Linked DNA regions of Schizosaccharomyces pombe. Changing the gene in region 1 together with any one later gene gives a genetic interaction. Each region holds a gene or a part of one and is shown in the gene's direction. Other genes may lie near its edges.

What was found.
Region 2: of kpa1 (region 1) and cdc20, changing one suppresses a phenotype caused by changing the other (phenotypic suppression), as found in Schizosaccharomyces pombe (one study listed by BioGRID).
Region 3: of kpa1 (region 1) and eso1, changing one enhances a phenotype caused by changing the other (phenotypic enhancement), as found in Schizosaccharomyces pombe (one study listed by BioGRID).
Region 4: of kpa1 (region 1) and rev3, changing one enhances a phenotype caused by changing the other (phenotypic enhancement), as found in Schizosaccharomyces pombe (one study listed by BioGRID).

Annotation. Positions count from the first base shown.
Region 1 is NC_003421.2:291,763-295,780, forward strand, and holds kpa1 (DinB-like DNA repair polymerase kappa), read left to right. Parts: upstream 1-1,613; 5' UTR 1,614-1,681; coding exon 1,682-2,174; intron 2,175-2,213; coding exon 2,214-2,653; intron 2,654-2,699; coding exon 2,700-3,212; exon of another isoform or gene 3,213-3,258; coding exon 3,259-3,456; 3' UTR 3,457-3,485; downstream 3,486-4,018. Other genes in the region: GTPase Ria1, read left to right, coding at 1-453, 499-1,252; oligosaccharyltransferase delta subunit Swp1, read right to left, coding at 3,720-4,018. UniProt on the Schizosaccharomyces pombe protein: DNA polymerase specifically involved in DNA repair. Plays an important role in translesion synthesis, where the normal high-fidelity DNA polymerases cannot proceed and DNA synthesis stalls. Has a role in meiosis.
Region 2 is NC_003423.3:3,251,844-3,259,740, forward strand, and holds the start of cdc20 (DNA polymerase epsilon catalytic subunit Pol2), read left to right. Parts: upstream 1-1,878; 5' UTR 1,879-2,045; coding exon 2,046-7,897. Other genes in the region: respiratory chain complex IV assembly protein Cox20, read right to left, coding at 760-956, 1,110-1,224, 1,291-1,341. UniProt on the Schizosaccharomyces pombe protein: DNA polymerase II participates in chromosomal DNA replication.
Region 3 is NC_003423.3:4,276,363-4,281,692, reverse strand, and holds eso1 (mitotic cohesin N-acetyltransferase/DNA polymerase eta Eso1 fusion protein), read left to right. Parts: upstream 1-2,039; 5' UTR 2,040-2,101; coding exon 2,102-4,720; 3' UTR 4,721-4,804; downstream 4,805-5,330. Other genes in the region: ale1 (MBOAT family O-acyltransferase), read left to right, coding at 168-1,697; SPOM_SPBC16A3.12C (triglyceride lipase-cholesterol esterase), read right to left, coding at 4,805-4,942, 4,994-5,330. UniProt on the Schizosaccharomyces pombe protein: Probable acetyltransferase required for the establishment of sister chromatid cohesion and couple the processes of cohesion and DNA replication to ensure that only sister chromatids become paired together.
Region 4 is NC_003424.3:3,127,750-3,134,993, forward strand, and holds rev3 (DNA polymerase zeta catalytic subunit Rev3), read left to right. Parts: upstream 1-2,039; 5' UTR 2,040-2,128; coding exon 2,129-6,571; 3' UTR 6,572-6,743; downstream 6,744-7,244. Other genes in the region: rim2 (mitochondrial pyrimidine nucleotide transporter), read left to right, coding at 1-64, 113-1,031. UniProt on the Schizosaccharomyces pombe protein: Nonessential DNA polymerase. Required for DNA damage induced mutagenesis. Involved in DNA repair, mitochondrial DNA repair and translesion synthesis. Has a role in the bypass of abasic (AP) sites.

The DNA of each region.
Region 1 (4,018 bases):
AAATGGAGAGCATGTAATTATGTGTGCCGGAGAGATTCATTTGGAAAGATGTTTAAAAGACCTTAGGGAACGGTTTGCAAAAATTGAAATACAAGCATCTCAGCCACTTGTGCCATATCGGGAAACTACCATAGCTACACCCGACTTATTAGCAAAAAATAAAGAACTGAGTATTGGCTTTGTCACTGCAACGTTACCAGTTGGCGGAGTTACGATTGGAATTACAGTAACACCTCTTTCTGGGTCTGTCGTAGATTTTCTGCTGAAGCACTCTAAAACAATTGAAAATGTTAGCAGCAATTTTTCAAAGAAAAATAGAAACGTTGTTGTCTCGGAATCTTTAACAAAAAGTATGGAGGAAGTGTTGACTCCTGAGAAGTTTTATGAAAGGCTTTCCAAGCTTTTAGAGGAAGAGAACTCTGACTTAGGCGAGCTGAAAAATCATTTGGATAGGTAGGTTATACTAGTGTTCTATTGGTTGATTACTAACAATACTAGTATCATTGCGTTTGGCCCCAAACGAGTGGGTCCTAATATACTTTTTGACAAAACCAAGAAGATGAGAGATTTTCGACGACAAAGCGATGAAACAAAATTAATACCCTCAGACCTTTCTGAATATGTAGTTACTGCATTTCAACTAATAACGCACCAGGGACCATTGTGTGCTGAACCCGTTCAAGGCATTTGTGTGTCAATCGATCAGTTTGACATATCTGATGACTCGGAAGATAGTAAGTTACTTACCATCAATAATCCCCAAATCCCCGGTCAAGTTATTTCGGTAGTGAAAGAGTCTATTAGACATGGATTTTTAGGTTGGTCACCGAGACTTATGCTAGCCATGTATTCTTGCGATGTTCAGGCCACATCTGAAGTCTTGGGTAGGGTATATGGTGTTGTTTCGAAGCGACGAGGACGAGTAATTGATGAAGAAATGAAGGAAGGGACTCCATTTTTTATTGTAAAAGCCTTGATTCCAGTTGTTGAATCCTTTGGATTCGCTGTAGAAATTTTGAAAAGGACATCTGGTGCTGCCTATCCTCAATTAATCTTCCATGGTTTTGAGATGCTAGACGAGAATCCCTTTTGGGTTCCAACTACTGAGGAGGAATTGGAAGATTTAGGCGAGTTAGCCGATCGCGAAAATATTGCTAAGCGCTATATGCTGAACGTTCGAAAAAGGAAAGGCTTATTGGTAGAGCAAAAGATTGTTGAAAAGGCAGAGAAGCAGAGGACACTGAAGCATTAAAGATAGTACTTGATTCCAATTTCTTTAGGAAAACGAAAAGATTGTAATTTGATGACAATGACCTGGTTAGATGGAGGTAATGTTTTTTTTTTTTTTTTTGTTACATTGTTGAGGTAGCTGTGATTTTGAGTTAAGTGTTTCATGAACTATGGGACTAAGATTAGAAGTCTATAAGATGAATAGTGTAAAACGCACATGCAAGATTCTTTAGGCTTCTTTTTGTTATGTTTTAAATTGTTAATACAAATTCAAATTTCCAAAAAATACCGATGTTGTGGGATATGCATAATACAAATAATGATATACTCTACTGCGTAATCGCTAGAAGGTGATAGATTACAGACGCGACGCGCCAAAACACAAACACATCTTTGTACTAATTCAAATTCTAGTATTTTGAAAACTATTCGCCTTAATGTTTTTTGACGGATGGAAAATGCAAAAGATTTTATAGGAGAAACAATAAAGGAGAATGGATTACTTACCATTGAAGATGATGGTAGCAGTAGTTCAGATGAAGAAGCTACTTTAAAACGACGATTGGCAGGCCCTTCTGTTCTCAAGTCAGGACAGGAAAATGTTAATCAAAAAAAGATTAACGAGATAATTTACGAAGCTTCCAAAGGAAGTAAGTTTTTTGAAGCCGAACAAAAACGAGACCGAGAACTTCGTTTAAGAATAGAAAAGGTTCAAGTTGAGGTAGAAAAATACCAATCAAAATTAAGGTTTGATAAAGCGTTTCAAAGAGAGTGGACCATTAGACAAGAAAGTGTGGATACTACTGTTGAGGATTTTAGGGCTAAACGAGATTTGACCCAAATAATTGTTCATGTTGATTGTGATGCGTTTTATGCATCAATAGAGGAACTTAAGAATCCAAAACTTAAGTCTTTACCAATGGCAGTCGGGAAGAGTGTTTTGTGTAAGTATTCGAATCTGACTGAAACTAATGCTGAATAAGGTACTGCTAATTATGTGGCCAGAAAGTTTGGAGTTCGATCAGCGATGCCAGAATTTATTGCTAGAAAGATTTGTCCTGATCTAGTTGTAATTCCGTTAAATCTTTCTGAATATGCAATAAAATCTAAAGAAATTCAGAATGTGCTTGCTCAGTATGATTCGAATTTGTGTCCTGCAAGCATTGATGAATTTTATATGAACTTGACTTCACATTTACGTCTCCAAGAGCTTGCATTTACTGTAGAAAACATAACGATGGTGGTTGAGAAAATCAGGAAACAAGTGCATGAAGAAACAGGAGTTACAGTCAGTTGTGGTATTGCAGCAAACAAGTTGTTAGCCAAAATTGCAAGCAATAAGAGAAAACCAAATAATCAGTTTTTTATCCCATTTGACGAGATTGGGATTTCAAAATTCATGAATGACTTGCCTGTTAGAGAGGTAAGCAGTCTTTCTATATCTGGTTAAGCATTCTTTAACATTACAGGTTTCTGGTATTGGTAGAGTTTTAGAGCAGCAATTACTTGGTTTGGAAATTAAGACGTGTGGGGATATTCAAAGAAATTTGGTGATTTTATCTTATATCTTTTTACCTAAAAGTTTCCAAAACTTGTTGAGATGTAGCTATGGATTTGGAACTACAATTTTAGACGAATACGGTGAGAGCAAACGAAAAACAATTGGGTCTGAAGCTACATTTTCCAGCAATCTTAGTTCTCCGTCAATAATCGAGTACAAGCTCAGACTTCTTGTACAAAATGTATCTGAAAATTTACAAAAGCGCGGATTAGTCACAAACTCGATCGCTATAAAGTATAAAACAAGCGAATTTCAAGTTCATACCAAGCAAAAGAGCATAGGTCAATTCATTCATTCAGAATCTGATTTATTGAAACCAGCTTTGCAATTGTTGCGTCAATCTTACCCTATGACTATTCGTTTATTAGGAGTCAGAGCAACAAAGCTGGTTAGTAAATCGCGTTGTTTGGCCATGCAACTTGTAAGTCAAGCAAATATACTGCTAGCAATATGCTAATTATTACTAGAAATTCCAAAGCCAGAATACCGTTCCTTGTCCCGTTTGCCAGAAAAATATTGAAAACGAATTAGGTATACTGAACCAACATGTCGACCTTTGCTTAAATGTCGAAACAGTTAAATCCTTGATCAATACCGATCATACTGCAAATCCTACAATCAAAAAAAGAAAATCAAACACATTAGACACATATTTCTTGGAATAAAATTTATTAATCTTGACCTTAAAGCAACATTAAATAAGTTTTGGATTGCGAATCATTGCGCAACTAGCTTATGGTAAAAGTATTTGACAGTTTGTATAGACCAAGTAAAACTTTTAGAGAAAGAATGTCAAAGACAACTATTTTTAGATAAAGTAACCATGCTATTTTACAAAATAACATTGCGGTACTGAAAAATATTACATAAATGTCAACGTCAATTGTAAAGTCATCGTCAAACTCAAAGATTGTAAGGATAGGCCGATTTAAAGACTTTTAGCAGCGATTCCGCACATGATTGCGACGCCAGCAGCGTATGCGCCAAATTGGAAGATGGACAAAGAAGTCCAGTAAATAAACAACAGGATTTCTGCAACGGCCAAGGAGGCAAAGCCAAACGTTCTAGCAAATGAAGATGATGACACAGAGTAAACATTTGATTTTGGTAACAATTTCTGCCACACACCGAGCAAACCGATTAAACTAACCACTACCGAAACAGAAAAGCAAATACTTAGAAAATAATTTGCCCTTTTAGGAGGGGGAGAAAATGTATGAAGAATTA
Region 2 (7,897 bases), on another chromosome or scaffold:
AACGACTGAAGTGCCACTAACTTTCCTCCTAAAAACAGTATATCTCATCGATGATAATTATAAATAAAGAAATTACCCTGATTAAACTACTTTGTTAAAAAATAATAAACAAGAATGACGATGGGACTGCAAATACTTGATTTTAATGTTTTTTCTAGCCAATCGTACAAAAATTGTCGTAAAGAATACATATTTACATTCAAAAATATCACATAGCTTATTCATCCAGTTAGTAGAAATAAACCACCATAAAGGTCTTGTTACTTTTATTTTGGAAAGTTTTTAGCTGAAATCATGCGATGCCCTCGCAAGGTCGTAGACTGACTTTACGATAAAGGGGTAAACATACACGCACGAAAGATTGAGATGAGCTAGTACTTATAAAGTAAATAACGAACAAAAAGTCTACCATTGTTTAGTTAATATTGGGAAAATGTGGATGCTGTATATTTTTAAGACTTTTTTGCTGTTAATACAACGTTCAAGATACCAAGAGTATGTATTCCACCCATTGTAATGGCACCCTAAAAAGATTGAATTCTTCGAGGCAGTTAAAAATTCAACATTGGATTCTTTGGTGATAATTCACACTCTTCAATGAATACCATTTAAAAATGACAAACCATTCCGATGAACTCAAATTTAAAATATTAATTGAATAAGAGTTAATCGATCAAATGAAAAACTCAGCATACCATGCAATAGAGGGATGAAAAGAGCTTAAGAATAAGTAGAACCTAAAGAATCAAATGAATGCAATTACTCGTTAAAACCTTCATCAATTTCTTGAGCGGACCTTGAAGAGCGATGCTTCGGGGTCTTTTCTGCTGCTTCTGTAATTTTAATGTTGAAGTTATTAGTTTCAAGCTGCTTGCGGTAATTACACCCTTCCCAAGAGACGATGCTCATTCCAAAATAAGTTCCGAACCCCCAATTAGCAGCTCTAGAAATAGGTGCTTGAATATTGTTAGCATGTGTCGGCAAGAATTTAAACCGCTTATTAAACAACGGATTGAAATCACCGTTTTAAAAAGTTGGTCCGAAAATTAAAAGACATGCGATTTTTTTTGACGGACATCAATTAACCAGCATAATGTTTTTTTTCGTACCTCGAAGAAACAAATGGATGCAACCAACACCTAGACCACAGACGACACTGGTGATTAATGATTCCTTAAAACAAGGATGGTGTACCATGTGAGCAAAATCACTCATCTTCAATGACTACAAGTAGTATTAGCATTCCTTGCATTTACAACAAACTAGTCCTTTTTAAGCTATAAATTCTACCTTGAAAGCGTCAATAATCCCAGGTTTTTCGGGTTCATTTGGTGTACTCATAGTTACTGATTCGTTTAAGCTTTTTCAGTTAATGGTGGAATAGAGGTAAATATAAGGTATCAAACTGATTGAATTAAGCACTACTAAGTTTTTTTACTATGGCGGGGTCTTTAATCCTGTACTTCAGCAATCAGACAATATTTTTTTCTTTGAATTAATATAAACTTTTCCATTTATGATAGTATATTTCGCCAAAATAACCAAGCTTTGACAATTTATATCACTGAAAGCAGAAACCGCGTCACCATGCTTCTCTAAAAGAAAACTGCTTTTTTTTTTTTTTTTTTTTTCTTTAAATTCAATCCTTAAAGGAAGCAATATCGATTTGAAATAATTACTTACGGTCGAAACACACGATCATTAGGCTAATGTATACTAAATTTTGTATTTTTTTGTACTTTGTCTTTATTTTATGGCAAAAATAAATAAATTGTAATGCTTTGAACTGGAACATGATACCCAAAATAATTTGCAAGTTGTCGACGCGACGCGACTTGTTGTTTACCAATTTGTTGCCTCTTAACTCGGTATTAATCCAAACCACTATATCACATTTAAAAGGATACCTAATGTTTGTACAATAGAAGAAGTTTCTTCTTAATACTATTCCATTTATTAATTTAGAATTCTCTGGTAACAATCGGAAATTACTAAACTGTCGGTCTCTTTTTACTTTCTTTTTTTAATATTTATTTTGTATTGCTATGCCCTTAAAAACAGCTCGAGGAGCATCCAAATATCAGTTTAGGAAATTTAATGGTAACTACAATGGAAAAAGTAAATCGAACGGTAGGACGTTTGCAAAATCAACCGAGGAAGTTGGCTTCAATGATCCTATGAAAATTGTCTACAAAAAGAATGAGATTGATCGAATGATGGGTTTTGATAGCTATGAAGGTGGACAACCACGAGAAGCTTGGCTTCTCAACGTTCATCCAACAGTAATCGAAAGCACCAAAGGCAATTCTACCCTCAGTGCCGTTGACTTTTACTTCATTCAAGACGATGGTGACACTTTCCGGTGTACCATTCCATACTCTCCTTACTTCTACATTGCTGCTCGAGAAGGTAAAGAAGCTTTGGTTGACGATTATTTAAAAAAAAAATTTGTGGGCTTAATTAAATCTACTACGCGTATCTTTAAAGAAGATTTACAGCTAAAAAACCACATAGTGGGTTACCAAAAGTTGTATATAAAGTTGGTTTTTGATAACCTGAATGACCTTCAGGCTGTCAGGAAGTCTTTGATGTCTGCTGTGAAAGCTAATTCTTCCCAACAAGATGCCGTTGATGCATACACTAACTTGTCTTCGGAGAATTTAAACGGGATTATAGAAAACGCATTTGAAGATCCTTTAAATCATGTTTTAGATATCCGTGAGTACGATGTTCCGTATCATTCTCGTACACTTATTGATTTGAATATTCGAGTCGGACAATGGTATACTGTTTCATATCATGAAGGCCATGTTCAAATATCCCTTTTAGCTTCCCGAATCGAGCGTGCAGAACCTACTATAATGGCTTTTGATATTGAAACCACTAAGCTGCCATTGAAGTTTCCTGATAGCTCGTTCGATAAAATAATGATGATATCTTATATGATTGATGGCCAAGGATTTTTAATTACCAATAGAGAAATTATTTCCCAGAATATTGAAGATTTTCATTATACTCCGAGGGAGGAATTTGAGGGCCCATTTATTATTTTTAATGAGCCTGATGAAGTTGGCCTACTTCATCGATTCTTTAAACATATAAGGTCTGCAAAGCCTTCAGTAATAGTTACATACAATGGTGACTTCTTTGACTGGCCATTTGTAGACGCACGTGCTGCATTTCACGGATTGAATTTAACAGAAGAAACTGGTTTCTTCAGGGACGCAGAGGATGAATATAAGTCTTCTTATTGTAGTCATATGGATGCCTTCCGGTGGGTAAAGAGAGATAGTTATTTACCTCAAGGAAGTCAAGGTCTCAAAGCTGTCACTGTCAGTAAATTAGGTTATAATCCTATCGAACTAGATCCAGAATTGATGACTCCTTATGCAAGTGAAAAACCTCAAGTTCTTGCTCAATATTCAGTTTCAGATGCTGTTGCTACTTATTTTCTTTACATGAAATATGTGCATCCTTTCATTTTTTCTCTTTGTAACATTATCCCATTAAATCCTGATGAAGTTTTACGTAAAGGCACGGGTACGTTGTGTGAAACGCTTTTAACTGTTGAGGCTTGTACAAAAAATATTATTCTTCCGAATAAACATGTTGATGCTAGTCAAAAATTTTTCGACGGTCATTTACTTGCAAGTGAGACTTATGTTGGAGGACATGTTGAAAGTCTTGAAAGTGGTGTTTTTAGAAGCGACTTGCCGACTAATTTCAACATGGATCCAAAAGTTTATGAAGAACTAATTTTACAGTTGGACAAAGCCTTAGATTTTTCTTTAACAGTTGAAAACAACGTCAATGTTGATGAAATCGAAAATTATGAAGAGGTTAGAGACAGCATATTAAAGAAACTAAGTGACCTTCGTGATCGACCAAAAAGGTCGGAGAAGCCAAGGATTTACCATCTTGATGTCGCCTCAATGTACCCAAATATTATGATTACCAACCGGTTACAGCCAGATTCAGTAAAAGATGAATCGTTTTGTGCAACATGCGATCTTAATGTGCCCAATAAGACATGTGATCGTCGGATGGTATGGGCATGGAGAGGGGAGTATTACCCTGCTAAAAAAGGTGAATATCATATGATATATTCTGCTTTACAATCTGAGCGTTTTCCAGGCCCTACCCCTTTCTCACCTTTTAGGTCATTTCAAGAGCTTTCTCCCTCAGAACAAGCTGCTATGGTGCAAAAGCGCATTGCGGATTACAGCCGTAAAGTGTATCACCGTCTATATGATAATACCGTTATCGAAAGGGAAACTATAATTTGTCAAAAGGAAAACTCATTTTATATTGATACGGTAAAAAGCTTTAGGGATCGCCGTTATGACTTTAAAGGATTGCAAAAAAAATGGGTCAAACAACTTGCTGCTATAAAGGAAAAAGGAGGACTTGCTGAAATAGAGGAGGCCAAAAAGATGGTCGTACTCTACGATTCTTTACAGTTAGCTCACAAAGTTATTTTAAACTCTTTCTATGGATATGTCATGCGAAAAGGCTCCCGTTGGTATTCGATTGAAATGGCTGGTATCACATGTTTGACAGGCGCTACGATTATTCAGATGGCTCGTCAAATAGTTGAACGTGCAGGTAGGCCATTGGAACTTGACACAGATGGTATTTGGTGTATTCTTCCAGAATCGTTTCCTGAAAACTTTGAATTTAAAAAGAAATCCGGAGGAAAGGTTTTTATCTCTTATCCATGCGTTATGTTAAATCACCTGGTTCATGAAAAGTTCACCAATCATCAATATTCTGCCTTAAAGGACCCAGAGAAATTGGTGTATGAAACAACTAGTGAAAACAGCATTTTTTTTGAGGTTGATGGTCCTTATAGAGCTATGATTTTGCCTGCTTCAACGGAAGAAGGTAAAAACTTAAAAAAGCGTTATGCCGTTTTCAATTTCGATGGTAGTTTAGCTGAACTTAAAGGCTTTGAGGTGAAAAGAAGAGGAGAATTGAAGCTCATTAAGGATTTTCAATCTCAGATATTTAAAGTTTTTTTGAAAGGTGATTCTTTAGAGGAATGCTATCAAGAAGTTGCCTATGTTGCTGACACTTGGTTAGAGATTCTATTCACCAAAGGCTCTAACCTAACAGATGATGAATTAATTGAACTGATTTCTGAGAATCGTAGTATGTCTAAAGCTTTGTCTGAATACGGAAGCCAAAAATCGACATCCATTACTACAGCCAGGCGACTGGCTGACTTTTTGGGTGATCAAATGACCAAAGACAAAGGTCTAGCATGTCGTTTTATTATTTCCGCAAGTCCAAAAGGAAGGCCAGTTGCAGAAAGGGCAGTACCGGTAGCTATTTTCTTTGCTGAAGAATCTGTTAAGCGACATTTTCTTAGGCTCTGGTTGAAAGATAATGGTCTATATGATGTTGATATTAGAGACATTATTGATTGGGATTATTATTTGAAACGTCTAGGATCAGTAGTACAAAAACTAATTAGCATCCCTGCTGCTCTCCAAAGGATTTCAAACCCCGTTACCCGTTTTCCATTGCCGGACTGGCTTCAAAAACGAGTTGCTGTCTTGAATTCTAAATACCAACAGAAAAAGATCGATTCCATTTTCTCCTTAGCCCCTACAAATCCATCCACAATAAACAACACAAAAGTTACTGATATTGAGGATTTAGGAAGTGTGACTCACAAAGATAAGCGTATTGTCGCTCGAGTTACCAAGCGTAAACTTTTACAACAATCTGGGAACTCGGAAGCACCTGTATCTTTTGAAGTAAAACCTGTATCCTTTATGGATGGATATTCGAATTGGCTTAAGTATGCTAAGAAAAAGTGGAAATATCAGAAGCAGGTCAAGCTTCGAAGAAGACATTTAATTGGGTTTCAATCAAGGCAATTCACCAATGTTTTACAATCTTCTGCTGAAGTTATGTTTGAAAATTTATGGCATATTTTACAAATACGAGAAACCGATGTTCCTGGTATTTTACATGCTTGGGTAATTATTCGTAATCGGTTGACCTCGATACGGTTCATTGTGAATAGAAAGTTTTTTGTATGTTTCAAAGATGAGACTTTACCGAATGTTGAAATTGAGGGATGCTTAATTGAAAAAAGCAATGCGATATTACCGCATGGAAGCACTTCGGATAAGCTTTTTTTACTTGAAATTCCAGAAAAGAGCTATTTAACGGAAAAGGTATCAATTTCTATGATTTTTGCCCATCCGTCTGTTAGTGGAATATATGAGACTCGTATAGAACCAATTGAAAGATTGATATTAGAAATGGGATCCAGAAAAAGGTTTAATAATTCAGTACCTGGAGCGTTAGGTAAAGGCTTCGAATTTGGATTTGAATCTAAAATGTTCACTGACCCAAGTGATAACGATGTTTCCTATCTTGATGGAGTAGAGATGAACTACCTTTATGCATTCCATTTTTCCATTAGTAATAGGTTTGTTTTTTCACTTTTTATGCCACATTTAAAAAAAGTTGAGGCCATAATTTATGACAAACTGCCAGGTAGTGATATGTCTTTCCCATCAATCAGCAAAATTTACGAAGAGCTACGGTCGAAATTTGATAATTTAATTAAGGAAAGTAGTATCGAATACCCTGATACTCTTTCGTGTAATGTCATTTTCTCGGGAAACGAAAGGAAAGCGTACAAACTGATAGATGAAAAGTTGCTTCAATATTTTTCAACTAAAACTAAAAATAGTCTGCTTATTATTGAAAGTTCACTCCCTCACATATTGAAGGCAAATGTGAAGCAAATTGAAGAGCTTCCGTATATAATGATACCACGGCTTGAGAGCAACATACAGTCTCTTTCTTGGAAACAACACATTGCTACGAAAATGATCCAACATTTCTTAGCTATTGGTAGCTGGCTTTTCCATCGCATACAACTTTCTCGCTTCTCAGATATCCCATTATGCAACTTTGAAAGCGATGACATTCAGTACAGTATCGATGTTGTTTACTCTAGAAAGCTGAAAGAACATAATATTATCCTTTGGTGGAATAAAGGCCCAACTCCAGACTTAGGTGGTATTGAGAAGGATAGTATTCTGCAGATTGCCAGTCCCAAAGATCCACTAGAAGTTAACAATCCTGGTGCTTATTCAAATGCTTGTGTTGACATTTCTCTTTCCAACCTTGCACTTTGTAGCATTCTCAATTCTGCTCTCATAAATGACATAGAAGGTATTGGCGACATGGCAGCTTTGAATGATAATTACATGACCGCCATAAATGATGATCTGGAGGAAAAGTTGGGAATACATGATAATATTGGACTGACACATTCATTGCCGGTGTTGAAGGCGTTGGTTAAAACTTGGTGGAACGAAGCTGCATCCGGTAATAATCTCGCTGATCTTATAATTCAACATTTAGCCCGATGGATTTCTTCATCAAAATCTTATCTGTACAGTCCTTTACTCTCCTCGCACGTGGAAGTTATAATGAGAAAAACTTTTTTACAACTTCTCTCTGAGATAAAACGCCTTGGAGCACATATCATACACGCTTCTGCTAATAAAATATTAATCAAAACGAGCAAATTAATCGTCCAGAACGCTGTCACTTATTCAAATTATTTACTCAAATCCATTAAGACGTTACCACTATTTCACTTTTTGGATCTAAATGTCACGGAATACTGGGATTATCTTTTATGGATGGATTCCGTTAATTATGGAGGAAAAATGGTGGCAGCAAATTTTTCAGCTACAAATGAAGAACCACAGACAGTTGTTTCATGGCACATTAAAAGTCATTTACCTCCAATCATTCAGCCCGAATTTCAGAGTTGGATTGTTGAGTTTATTGAAGAGGTTTATAAGCAAAAATTAGAAAAGTCTAATACAAAAGTTGGGTTTGTTCGCGTGAAAAACAACAA
Region 3 (5,330 bases), on another chromosome or scaffold:
CAGAAATTGTTGGTGTTCATGAGCTAAAACTTCACCAACACCAAACTCTGGGTACAATCTTCACTGTACATTCGTGATTAAAGAATAATCGATTGTTGAGTGTTTAATATCAGTTGTTCAATTCAAAGGCATTCCCAAAGCAGGAGACAGTATTGTCTACATTAACAATGGCTTATCTTATTGATATACCATTTGAATACTTCTCTTCTTTCCTTGGAGTCCACCCGGATCAGCTCAAGTTACTGTTTTGTTTTCTTTCAGCATACCCGTTTGCCGGCATACTAAAAAGACTTCCTTCGGCTCCATGGATTAGAAACTTATTTTCAATAAGCATAGGTTTATTTTATCTCATTGGTGTTCATCATCTTTACGATGGCGTTTTAGTTTTGCTATTTGACGCTTTGTTCACATATTTCGTGGCCGCGTTTTATCGATCGTCACGAATGCCATGGATCATATTTATAGTAATCCTTGGCCATACATTTAGCAGCCATGTTATTCGGTACATTTACCCTTCAGAAAATACTGATATTACTGCTTCACAAATGGTACTATGTATGAAGCTTACAGCGTTTGCCTGGTCTGTTTACGACGGTCGTCTTCCTTCAAGTGAATTATCTTCTTATCAAAAAGACCGCGCGTTGAGAAAGATTCCTAATATCTTGTATTTCCTTGGATACGTATTTTTCTTTCCCTCATTACTTGTTGGTCCAGCTTTTGATTATGTTGATTACGAAAGGTTTATAACCCTTTCTATGTTTAAGCCTTTGGCTGATCCTTATGAAAAACAGATAACACCACACAGTTTGGAACCAGCCTTAGGTCGTTGCTGGCGAGGTCTGTTGTGGCTGATTTTATTTATTACCGGAAGCTCAATCTATCCTTTAAAGTTTCTACTTACACCTAAGTTTGCTTCCTCCCCTATTTTGCTAAAATATGGATACGTTTGCATAACTGCTTTTGTTGCAAGAATGAAATATTATGGCGCATGGGAACTTTCTGACGGTGCATGTATATTGTCAGGCATTGGTTATAATGGCCTGGATTCTTCTAAGCATCCTCGTTGGGATCGAGTGAAGAATATTGACCCTATTAAGTTCGAATTCGCAGATAATATCAAATGTGCTCTTGAGGCTTGGAACATGAATACCAATAAATGGCTTCGAAATTACGTTTATTTGAGAGTTGCAAAGAAGGGAAAGCGTCCAGGGTTCAAAAGTACGCTAAGCACATTCACTGTTAGTGCAATGTGGCATGGAGTTTCTGCTGGATATTATTTGACTTTTGTTTCCGCAGCCTTTATCCAAACAGTTGCAAAATACACGCGTCGCCATGTTCGCCCATTTTTCCTTAAACCAGATATGGAAACTCCTGGGCCTTTTAAGCGAGTCTATGATGTTATTGGTATGGTAGCAACAAACCTCTCTCTCTCCTATCTAATTATCTCTTTCCTTCTTTTGAATCTAAAAGAATCAATACACGTTTGGAAAGAGCTATATTTTATTGTGCATATATATATATTGATAGCTCTGGCTGTGTTCAATTCCCCAATAAGGTCGAAATTAGATAATAAGATACGATCCAGAGTCAACAGCTATAAACTAAAAAGTTACGAACAATCTATGAAATCCACTAGTGATACGGACATGTTAAATATGTCGGTGCCCAAAAGAGAAGATTTTGAAAATGATGAATGAAGGATTAATTTGCTATGAGGTAGCATCATATGCAATAAATTGAAGCATTTGAATATTTTGCAGCTTTGTTAACAGCAATTTCATCTTAATTGTTCATCATATACAATACCTTTCATGGCGGCAGTATATTCATTGTGTTTATATATATGTTTACATATTAAAGTAGTCTCTTAAATAAAATTCCTGAATGTTTTCTCTCAATTCAGTTTTTAAGTTTAACATCTAATTTCCTTTGATGATTTATTTTGGTTACAACATTATGAGAGTTTGAATTTATTTTGCTTTAGTATCTGGTAGTAGGTAACGTTGCTATATCTAGTACCTTAGTCCACTAAATTCAACACGAACGCGCTATAGAACTTGAGCGATTCTTATTAAAGAACTTTTTTGAGGGTATGAACTGAATGGAATTAGGCAAAAGCAAATTCTCTTGGAAGGACTTGCAATATTGTGATAAAGCAGGTACACAAAATTCACCGTTAAGGGTTGTAGCTCATATTGATCAGGATGCTTTTTACGCTCAAGTCGAAAGTGTTCGCCTAGGATTAGACCATTCAGTTCCCCTTGCTGTTCAACAATGGCAAGGGCTTATTGCTGTAAACTACGCAGCCCGTGCAGCGAATATTTCACGCCATGAAACAGTTACTGAAGCAAAAAAGAAATGTCCAGAGCTTTGTACCGCTCATGTAAAAACTTGGAAAGCTGGGGAGTCAGAGGCTAAGTACCATGAAAACCCAAATCCTAACTACTATAAAACCTGTTTAGATCCTTATCGGCACGAAAGCGTTAAGATTCTTAACATCATAAAGAAACATGCGCCTGTGGTTAAGAAGGCTAGTATTGACGAATGTTTTATTGAACTTACGAGTGATGTTAAACGGATTGTGTTGGAGGAATATCCTTACTTGAAAATTCCCTCTGAGGACTCAAATGTTGCTTTGCCGCAGGCTCCAGTGCTACTATGGCCTGCTGAGTTTGGAATGGTCATTGAAGAAGAAGTTGTAGATAGAACGAAAGAAGATTATGAAAGGGATTGGGATGATGTTTTTTTATTTTACGCTGCAAAAATCGTGAAAGAAATTCGCGATGATATATACTTGCAACTCAAATACACGTGCTCAGCAGGAGTTTCTTTTAACCCAATGCTTTCAAAGCTTGTCAGCTCGCGTAATAAACCAAACAAGCAAACTATTTTAACGAAAAATGCAATTCAAGATTATTTAGTGTCATTAAAGATTACTGATATAAGAATGCTGGGCGGAAAATTTGGAGAAGAAATAATTAATTTATTAGGAACAGATTCTATTAAGGATGTTTGGAATATGAGTATGGACTTTTTGATAGATAAGCTTGGTCAAACTAACGGTCCACTCGTTTGGAATTTGTGCCATGGAATTGATAACACTGAGATTACTACACAAGTTCAGATTAAATCAATGTTGTCGGCTAAAAATTTTTCTCAGCAAAAAGTGAAGTCTGAAGAAGATGCAATTAACTGGTTTCAAGTATTCGCATCTGATCTTCGATCACGATTCCTTGAACTTGAAGGAATGAGAAGGCCCAAGACCATTTGTTTGACTGTTGTATCAAGATTTCTGAGAAAGTCAAGGTCAAGTCAAATACCTATGAATGTTGATATTAGCACTCAGTTTATTGTTGAAGCAACATCCAAACTGTTGCGTCAACTGCAACAGGAATTCGATGTATATCCGATTTCAAACTTATCTATTAGCTTTCAAAACATCATAGAGGTTGATCGTAATTCTAGGGGAATTGAGGGTTTTTTAAAAAAGTCCAATGATGAAATCTACATGTCTACTTCTGTTTCACCTTCTATTGAGGGACGCGCTAAATTATTGAACGAAAATATGAGGGAAAATAATTCTTTTGAATTATCTTCGGAAAAAGATATAAAGTCACCTAAAAGGTTGAAAAGAGGTAAAGGTAAAGGGATTTTTGATATGCTACAACAGACCGCTGTTTCTAAACCAACGGAGAATTCAGCTGATGAAACTTACACGTGTGAAGAATGCGAACAGAAAATTACTTTATCCGAAAGAAATGAACATGAAGATTATCATATAGCTCTCTCCATTTCGAGAAAAGAACGCTATAATAACTTAGTACCGCCATCCCATGATAAACCTAAGCAAGTAAAGCCTAAAACATATGGAAGGAAAACCGGTAGCAAGCATTATGCACCTTTATCCGATGAAACAAACAACAAAAGAGCATTTTTGGACGCATTTTTAGGAAACGGTGGAAATCTGACACCAAATTGGAAAAAGCAAACGCCAAAAGCAATTTCCAACAGCTCAGACAACATGACCCAGTTACACTTAGATTTGGCTAATTCCACCGTAACTTGTTCAGAATGTTCTATGGAGTACAATTCAACGAGCGAAGAAGATATTTTGCTTCATTCTAGGTTTCATTCTCGGGTTCTAGGAGGTGTTACTGTGTCCTTTCAATGCTCTCCTATTTATCGCGTTAACTATGGTTTGAGTTCCGATTGCATATACAGCATAAATTCAGAAAGCTCATTAATTGATCAAAGAAAAGCAGAGGAAGCTTTATCTTTCGTAAATAACGAACTTTCAAGTGAGCCTATTGAAACAATTGGGGTAGATAAATATACCACATTTCTATTCATATCAGATAAGAAATGTGTCGGATTACTTCTGGCAGAGCGTATATCTTCTGCATACATAGTCGATGAACTTGAACTCAACAACAACAATAGCACCTCTTCCGCAGTATATATAAAAAACGAAAATCTACGAAAGGGGTTTGTATTGGGTATTTCCAGGATTTGGGTATCAGCTTCAAGACGCAAACAAGGGATAGCAAGTTTACTATTAGACAATGCTTTAAAAAAATTCATTTACGGTTACGTTATATCGCCTGCAGAAGTTGCTTTTAGTCAGCCTAGTGAAAGTGGTAAACAGTTCATTATTTCGTGGCATCGTTCTCGAAACAATGGTTCTTCGAAGTCACTTCGATATGCTGTTTATGAAAGTTGAAAATAGTCTGACAAAATTAAAGTTGTTCTAAATATCTATCTAAGCGTTATATAGAAGTTTTTTTTTTAAATTATTAATTAATCATTAATGAAAACCGTTTTGTTTAACGAAATGTTTGGCTTTGCCTAATGAATGATGCTTAAGGGCATCTATTACAACTGGGAACACTTCCTCTTTAACATCCTGGCCCCATAGAAAGTCAAGATGTTCATAATGAGCAATCTAACTTATATTAGCATATTGAGCAACAAACCTATAAAATAAAAGGCTTACCGAAACTTCCTTTGCATGGGGAGGAAGAGCAGTTCTCATTACTTCCATATTGATCAAAGTATCTTTACCTCCCCATAGTATCAGCATTGGGCATTTGATATTATTCGTAGGAAACAGAGGAACTTGGTAATGGCGTGAACCATATCCAGCTAGAAGAGCCATATCGTCGTCATAAAGCTGGAAAGTACAGTTTTTTATAATCTGAAGCCAGTGAACAACACTCTTTACACTTGAAAAAGAGTAAAGATGTGCATAACCGCAAAGTTTTTGATTAAGAGAAATGTTGGATAGGTCCCAGTTGAATAAAATTTTAAGGGATACATCGACAATTTTTACA
Region 4 (7,244 bases), on another chromosome or scaffold:
CAAAAGCAAATAATGCCAGTAACGAACGTGCTCCACCGCCTTTGTCGCATTTTATAGCGGGTGGGTAAGTGATTTGTAAATTTACGGGAAATGTCTTTCTAATATTCTTTAGAGTTGCAGGAATGTTAGGAGCGATTGCAACAGCACCTTTGGACGTAGTGAAGACGAGGTTGCAGTCTGACTTTTACAAAGACAGATTTTTGAAGCAAACGGCGAAATCGAAAAGTCCATTGACGGCTGCATATAGGCATTTTATGGATACATGTATAATATTAAAAAATGTAAAAGTTCATGAAGGAACAAGAGCACTATTTCGTGGCTTAGGTCCTAATTTAATAGGAACAATTCCTGCACGGTCAATTAACTTTTTTTCATATGGCAATGGCAAGCGTATATTGGCTGATCTCTTTAATAATGGTCAAGAGAACTCTCAAATACATCTAATGGCTGCTGCAATTGCAGGTGTAATTACTTCTGCTGCGACTAATCCAATATGGTTAGTAAAAACACGATTACAATTAGATAAAAAAAGTGGACAAGCTGCTCAGTATCGTTCTTCGATTGATTGCATCATAAAAACAATAAGGCTTGAAGGATTCCGAGGATTATATAAAGGTTTATCTGCCAGTTTACTAGGAGTCGGTGAAAGTACTCTCCAGTGGGTTCTATACGAAAAATTCAAGCACGCTGTCGCTATTCGACAACTTCGTCGAAAAGAACTTGGTATTCAAGAAACTATTTATGACAAAGTTTTAGATTGGGGTGGGAAGCTTGGAGGAGCTGGAATTGCTAAATTTATGGCAGCCGGCATTGCATATCCACATGAAGTTGTTCGAACACGTTTACGACAAAGTCCATCTATAAATGGTACTCCTAAATACACTGGACTCATACAATGCTTTAAATTAGTTTGGATGGAACAAGGGATTGTTGGACTGTACGGAGGTTTGACTGCACATTTACTACGAGTAGTTCCTAATGCTTGCATTCTTTTTGGAAGTTACGAAGTAATAATGCACTTCATTGGCTAGGTTTTCCAATGGCATGTTGACTATAAAACGGATCTACTAAAATTACCAGCTTGGAGAAGTGAGGAACCTATAGCAAAAGAGGATAATCATCACCTTTCCATTATTTTTTATATAATAATGCACATGAACAATTTTCCATTCGTACGGTTATGCTTAAAAGACTTATATGAATGTTAAATGCAAAAACTTTGGACTCCTATTTTTTTAACCAAAATTGCGTTTCAATTAATGATTTTCAGAAATTGTATTTATGATCTTTTGTCAATTTTTCTTTAACATGCTAAAACTTAAATTAAGTAATGAAGTTGACTATTTTTACTTCTTTATTAGTTAAAGGTAAGTATTTGTCTCAAATGGTTTTGAAAAATTTTGAATGAGTGGTTAAATCTCTCTTTGTTATCTTTACTCTGCATTTTGATACAAATTACGGCCCATAACAAAGCTTATTGAAGGTGTACGTTAAAAAACTTGTTGTGAATGATGGTTCTAAACGAGCGGACTAAATAGCTTTACCCCTTTCTTTTTTCATAACAATTCAAATCTAAATGGTCGGTGCGTTGATTTGCCATTAAAACAATAATATTATTGACATTTTAATATTATTTTGGATTCAAAAAAAATTTGTATTAACTAAGTTTCAAGTTATTCATTTACAGCAAATGTAGCCATATATCAACATTTTGTACAAATTTGATATGAATCATTCAAAAAGTTCGTTTGAGGTTCAATAATATGATTTTAAGATCTAAACTATTGTCGTTTCCTAACAAAATCATTATAAATTCTGCATATATCCCTTTTGCTATAGTTGAGGAACTCCTGTAGATTAACTATTCGTTAGAATAATGAGTGCAGTAATTCATCTATTTTAAACGGAATTAAGTAAGTATTTATATATAAAAATTAGTCTTATTATTCTTGGTCAATTTAACTCTTATATTTCACATATTGATTCTTACAGTAGTGGCACTGTTTAGGGTGTAGAGGTTGATCTAATCAACACTGAACAACATTTGCCATACTATGTGAAAACCGACATTTTCTCTCAGCCGTGATAAAAACTATCATATGAAATTTTACTATAAAAAAAGCATTGAATGCGATTTTCAATCGAGTATATAGATTGGGAATTAAGTCCTTGTGATCCAGCTTATGATTTCGTAGGGAAAGATTTGCCGACTGCAAATGAAGAGTTAACCACTGTTCCAGTTATTCGAGTTTTTGGATTGAATGAAGAAGCAGAAACTGTTTGCTGCTTTATCCACAACGTTTTCCCATATATTTATGTCGAATACTCTAGTTTTGCAGAAACGTTAGATCTTGAAGTTCCAGATTTTTTAAGCCAATTACAAACATCAATTAATTATGCTTTAGCATTAGCGGCAAGAGCAAATCCAGAAACTTACAAACCTGCTGTACAAAGCGTTCAGCTTGTGAAGGGAATTCCGTTTTATGGGTACTCCTTCTGTTTTCAGAAATTCTTAAAGATCTGTCTTTTTAGTCCGAAAAACAGAGATAGACTAGTCGATTTATTCAGGCAAGGTGCTATATTAAACAAAGTTATTCAAGTTTACGAATCCCATCTTCCTTACTTACTACAATTTATGGTCGATCATAATCTATATGGTTGTGCTCCAATAGATTTAGATGACTCCATTATAAAGAGAGACGATCTCTTGAGTTTTTGTAACGTCGAGGTTCACGTGTCTCCAAATGCTATTCTCAATGCCTGCTGGTTGAGTGAACGTAATATCCATACTGATTTATATGAAACTCATGCTTCAAGTCCAAATTCACTATTGGTAACTAGTTTAGCTGAAATTTGGAAATCGGAAGCTTCTCGGAGGAATTTAACCAGTAGCGATGAGACTAATAGTTTTTCTAAATTGCACCAAAGTCAGTTCGGTCTCAAAGAAGAGAGTAGCCATGAACCGCGAAGTTCCCAGCACTGGAAAAATGAAGTTGCCATGAAAGATCTGTTAAAAAACTTGATCAAAAGTAAATTAGAATCTTCTTCCGATGTCAATACTCCACTCATCTTTGATCCGTGGCCTGAGCTGCCTACCATTTATTCTGCAATCCACACCAAAGATTACGTACGCCCATCCCAAAATGATATTTCAGTTTCTCAAATATCTGTAGATGAGAAAATCTGTACTTCTTATGAAAGCCTGCCAAAGATTCAACTTGAACAAAACACTGCACCCGTCATAGAATCTTCTTTTGAACAACTGGACTCTGAGCTCGAGCGTATATTGGGAGATACACTTTTTGATTCATTTCCTTATGTAGAACCCAATGTTGATAGATCTAAATTTCCCAAAAGTCCTCTTAATTCTTCTCAAGAAGTTACCATTCACTCTTCACAAGATAGACAATCACCTCCCTCTTCGCCCTTAAAAGATGTACCTTCTCAAATAAATCCATTTTCCCCCAGCCTTAGATTAAAAGGGGGTTCACCCATAACTAAAAGGGAAATTGAATTTTGTCGAGATCTGCCGAATCGTCCCACCAGCTCTGAACCGAATCAAGGGGATACTAGAAAAGCAGGAAAGAGACTAAAATATTCTAGAAATCTTGATGATTATCATATTTGTACTCAAATTCCTGAAGACTACTCCCCAAAATTCTTATCTCAACATGAATCTTTTGTTTACAAACAACAACCTCCTTCGACGGATGATCTTTATGGGACTATGAAAAAATTGAAAATCCCATTTTCAATACCGACAAATGTTCACTATAGTTCGGAGAAGGACATTCCCTCTTACTCCCAAGAATATTTAGGAAAATCTCATTATCCGATCGGTGTTTCTTCTAGATATTTGCCAGAATTTCAATCAGATGGATCGGTAAGCGAAAAAGTTCGACTAAATCCACTTAAGCTTAGTAATTTTCACGGAGAACGGACGTGGCAATATATAAAACCTGCACCACTTGCTGTAGATTTATCAAATCTTGAATCGAAAGAAGCCGTTTCAGAGGAAATACAAAGCCCACAAAGGTTATCCAGAAGTAAGGTTTTTAGAAAAGATCCTTATTCATGTGTGCGCATCTTAGCGCTTGAATTGTTTTGCTGTAGCCATGGGGGATTGACCCCAGATCCCACTAAAGACTCTATAGAGTGTTGTTTCTGGGCATATCAAGAAGATGTAAACAGCAGTATGATTGACAGAGTTGGTTTTATTGTGGTCGACAAATCTGCGTCGAACTCTTCTTTTGGGCGAAGTTTTCCAAGCTGCACCGTTTTAGTTGTAAATTCCGAACTTGAACTTATTAATGAAGTTATAGGATTAAATCGCCAGCTTGATCCGACCATCGTATGTGGTTACGAAGTTCATAATAGCTCATGGGGTTATTTAATAGAACGAGCATCTTATCGATTTAATTATGACTTGCCTGAACAATTGTCCCGACTTAAGTGCACTTCGAAAGCAAATTTTGCAAAGAAAGAGAATGCATGGAAATATACAACTACTTCATCCATCAATATTGTGGGCCGGCATGTTTTGAATATATGGAGAATTCTCCGTGGTGAAGTTAATTTACTTAACTATTCCCTCGAAAATGTTGTTCTTAACATTTTTAAAAAGCAGACCCCTTATTATAATCAAGCTGATAAAGTGCATCTTTGGCAGAGCTCTCGTTTTCATGAGAAGCAAATCCTTTTAAATTATATGTTAAACAGGACTAGATATTGTTTGGAAATATTATCAGCCTGTGCCATTGTCACTAAAATTCGTGAACAAGCAAGAATTATCGGAATTGACTTCATGTCAGTAATTTCTAGGGGGTCCCAGTTTAAAGTTGAATCTATTATGTTTCGAATTGCAAAGCCTGAAAATTACATATTTCCATCACCTAGCGCTAAGCAAGTTGCTGAGCAAAATGCTTTAGAAGCGTTACCTCTTGTTATGGAGCCGAAGTCTGATTTATACAATAATCCGGTAGTTGTACTAGATTTTCAGTCACTATACCCCTCTATTATAATTGCATATAATCTTTGTTATTCCACATGTCTTGGACCTGTGAAAATAGTCAATGGAAAAGTTAAGCTTGGATTTATGTTTCATTCAAGCAATCCAAACATTGTGAATTTAATAAAAAATGATGTATATATCTCCCCTAATGGTTATGCATACGTTAAAGAGAATGTTAGAAAGTCTTTGCTCGCTAAAATGCTAGAGGAACTTATTGAAACCAGAAATATGGTGAAAAGAGGCATGAAAGATTGTGACTCGGACTATGTCAACAAAGTATTGAATAGTCGGCAACTGGCCCTAAAATTGATTGCAAACGTAACTTACGGATATACTTCAGCGTCATTTTCAGGAAGAATGCCGTGTTCAGAAATCGCAGATACTATTGTGGAAACAGGACGTGAGATACTTAGCTATTCACTAGAATACATAAATACTTTAGATTTTTGTCATGCAAAGGTCGTTTATGGTGATACCGATAGCTTATTTGTTGAATTACCTGGAGCGACTAAAGAGCAAGCTTTCGACATCGGACAGCAGCTAGCAAACAACATTACTTCCAGATTTCCTTCTCCAATTCGACTTAAATTTGAAAAAATTTACTTTCCTTGTTTCTTGTTAGCGAAAAAAAGATATGTAGGGTTCAAATTTGAATCAGTTAGTCAAAAAGCTCCAATTTTTGAAGCGAAAGGCATTGAGACAGTTCGAAGGGATGGTACTCCTGTTCAACAGCAGCTCCTTCGTCGTTGCCTTGAAATACTTTTTAAGACAAAGGATTTGTCAACGGTCAAAAAAGAATTTCAGAACGTATGTTATCAAATTATGAGTGGAAACGTTCCTGTTATGGATTTTTGTTTTTCAAAAGAAGTTCGTCTAGAAAAATATAAAGAATTAAGTACTGCTCCTCCTGGAGCAGTTATGGCTAGACGGTTGATGACCAAAGATCCTAGGAGGGAACCTCAATATGGAGAACGTGTTCCATATTTGATTATCGCTGCTGCTCCTGGTACCACCTTGGCGAACCGCTCAGTTGCACCCGAAGAATTTCTGTCTTCGAGTTTTTCTCAACTTGATATAAATTATTATATCAACAATAGTTTGATACCTCCATTAGATCGATTTCTAAACTTGTTAGGGGCTAGTGCCCAGTCATGGTATCATGAAATGCCCAAACCACGTACCAGTTTAAAATTGACTGAAACAGTGAAAGGAGGTATTCAAAAAAAGACTTTGGACACTTTTCTGATGGAGAAGCTTTGCTCTTCTTGCTTGAAGAATAATATTGAAATTATTCCTGATAAAATTAACTCCCTCTGCAGTGATTGCTTAAAAAATCCTTGTGCTACTATTTCTAAAGCTGTTACGCAGCACAATGCTTATAACAAAAAACTTTCCTTGCTATTTGATATTTGTCGAGGCTGCAGTAAGCTTTCATCTAGTGATCCAGTTCTTTGCAAGTCAAATAGCTGTAAGGTGTACTATGATAGGGCGAAAACTGAGAATTATGCGAAAGTACAGGCAGAAATGTTAACGAAGACTCTTGGTTCTTTAGACTGGTAAATCATTATAACTTCAAATATTGGTGTGAAGGACTTGAAATTAAAATACATCAGGCATTTGTTCTCTTATCACCTGCTAGTTTATTCATCTACGTATTATTTATTACAATTATTTATTTTTTTTAGAAGGTTATATCGATAACTAAAAATATTAATATCATCATGTTATTGGATTTTTTTTTTTTAGTTAAAATTTAGTAAACCTCTTCGTATTCTAGGGTGCGTAGCAATTCTTTATTTACTTTTTACTGTCCGCAATACTACGCTGTGATACTTTACGTCGCGTGTCACTATATGTCAAGTGCACTGTTTTGATTTATCAACTTGACATGATAAGTTATCAAGGTACGGTTACTAATTATGATAAAGTAACTATCACTTACTACATTCAAATTCTTAACACTATATATTGAGATAAACTGAAGTGAGGACGGGAATCGGTTTTTAGCTACGTTAGTGATAAGTAACAGATAATGTGTATTAGAATACTTACATCAATTGCTACTTATATTACCTCGTATTGCAATATAACAATCACAAGGAAGATTCAATACTGTTTTTAAGTATCGTTAAAATAGATACCGAAATACGTAGCTGATATTTGCGAGACAAATTACTTCGTAATTATCAAAATTCGTACGGGACACGGATGTCGTAGTTTTGAAACAGAACCA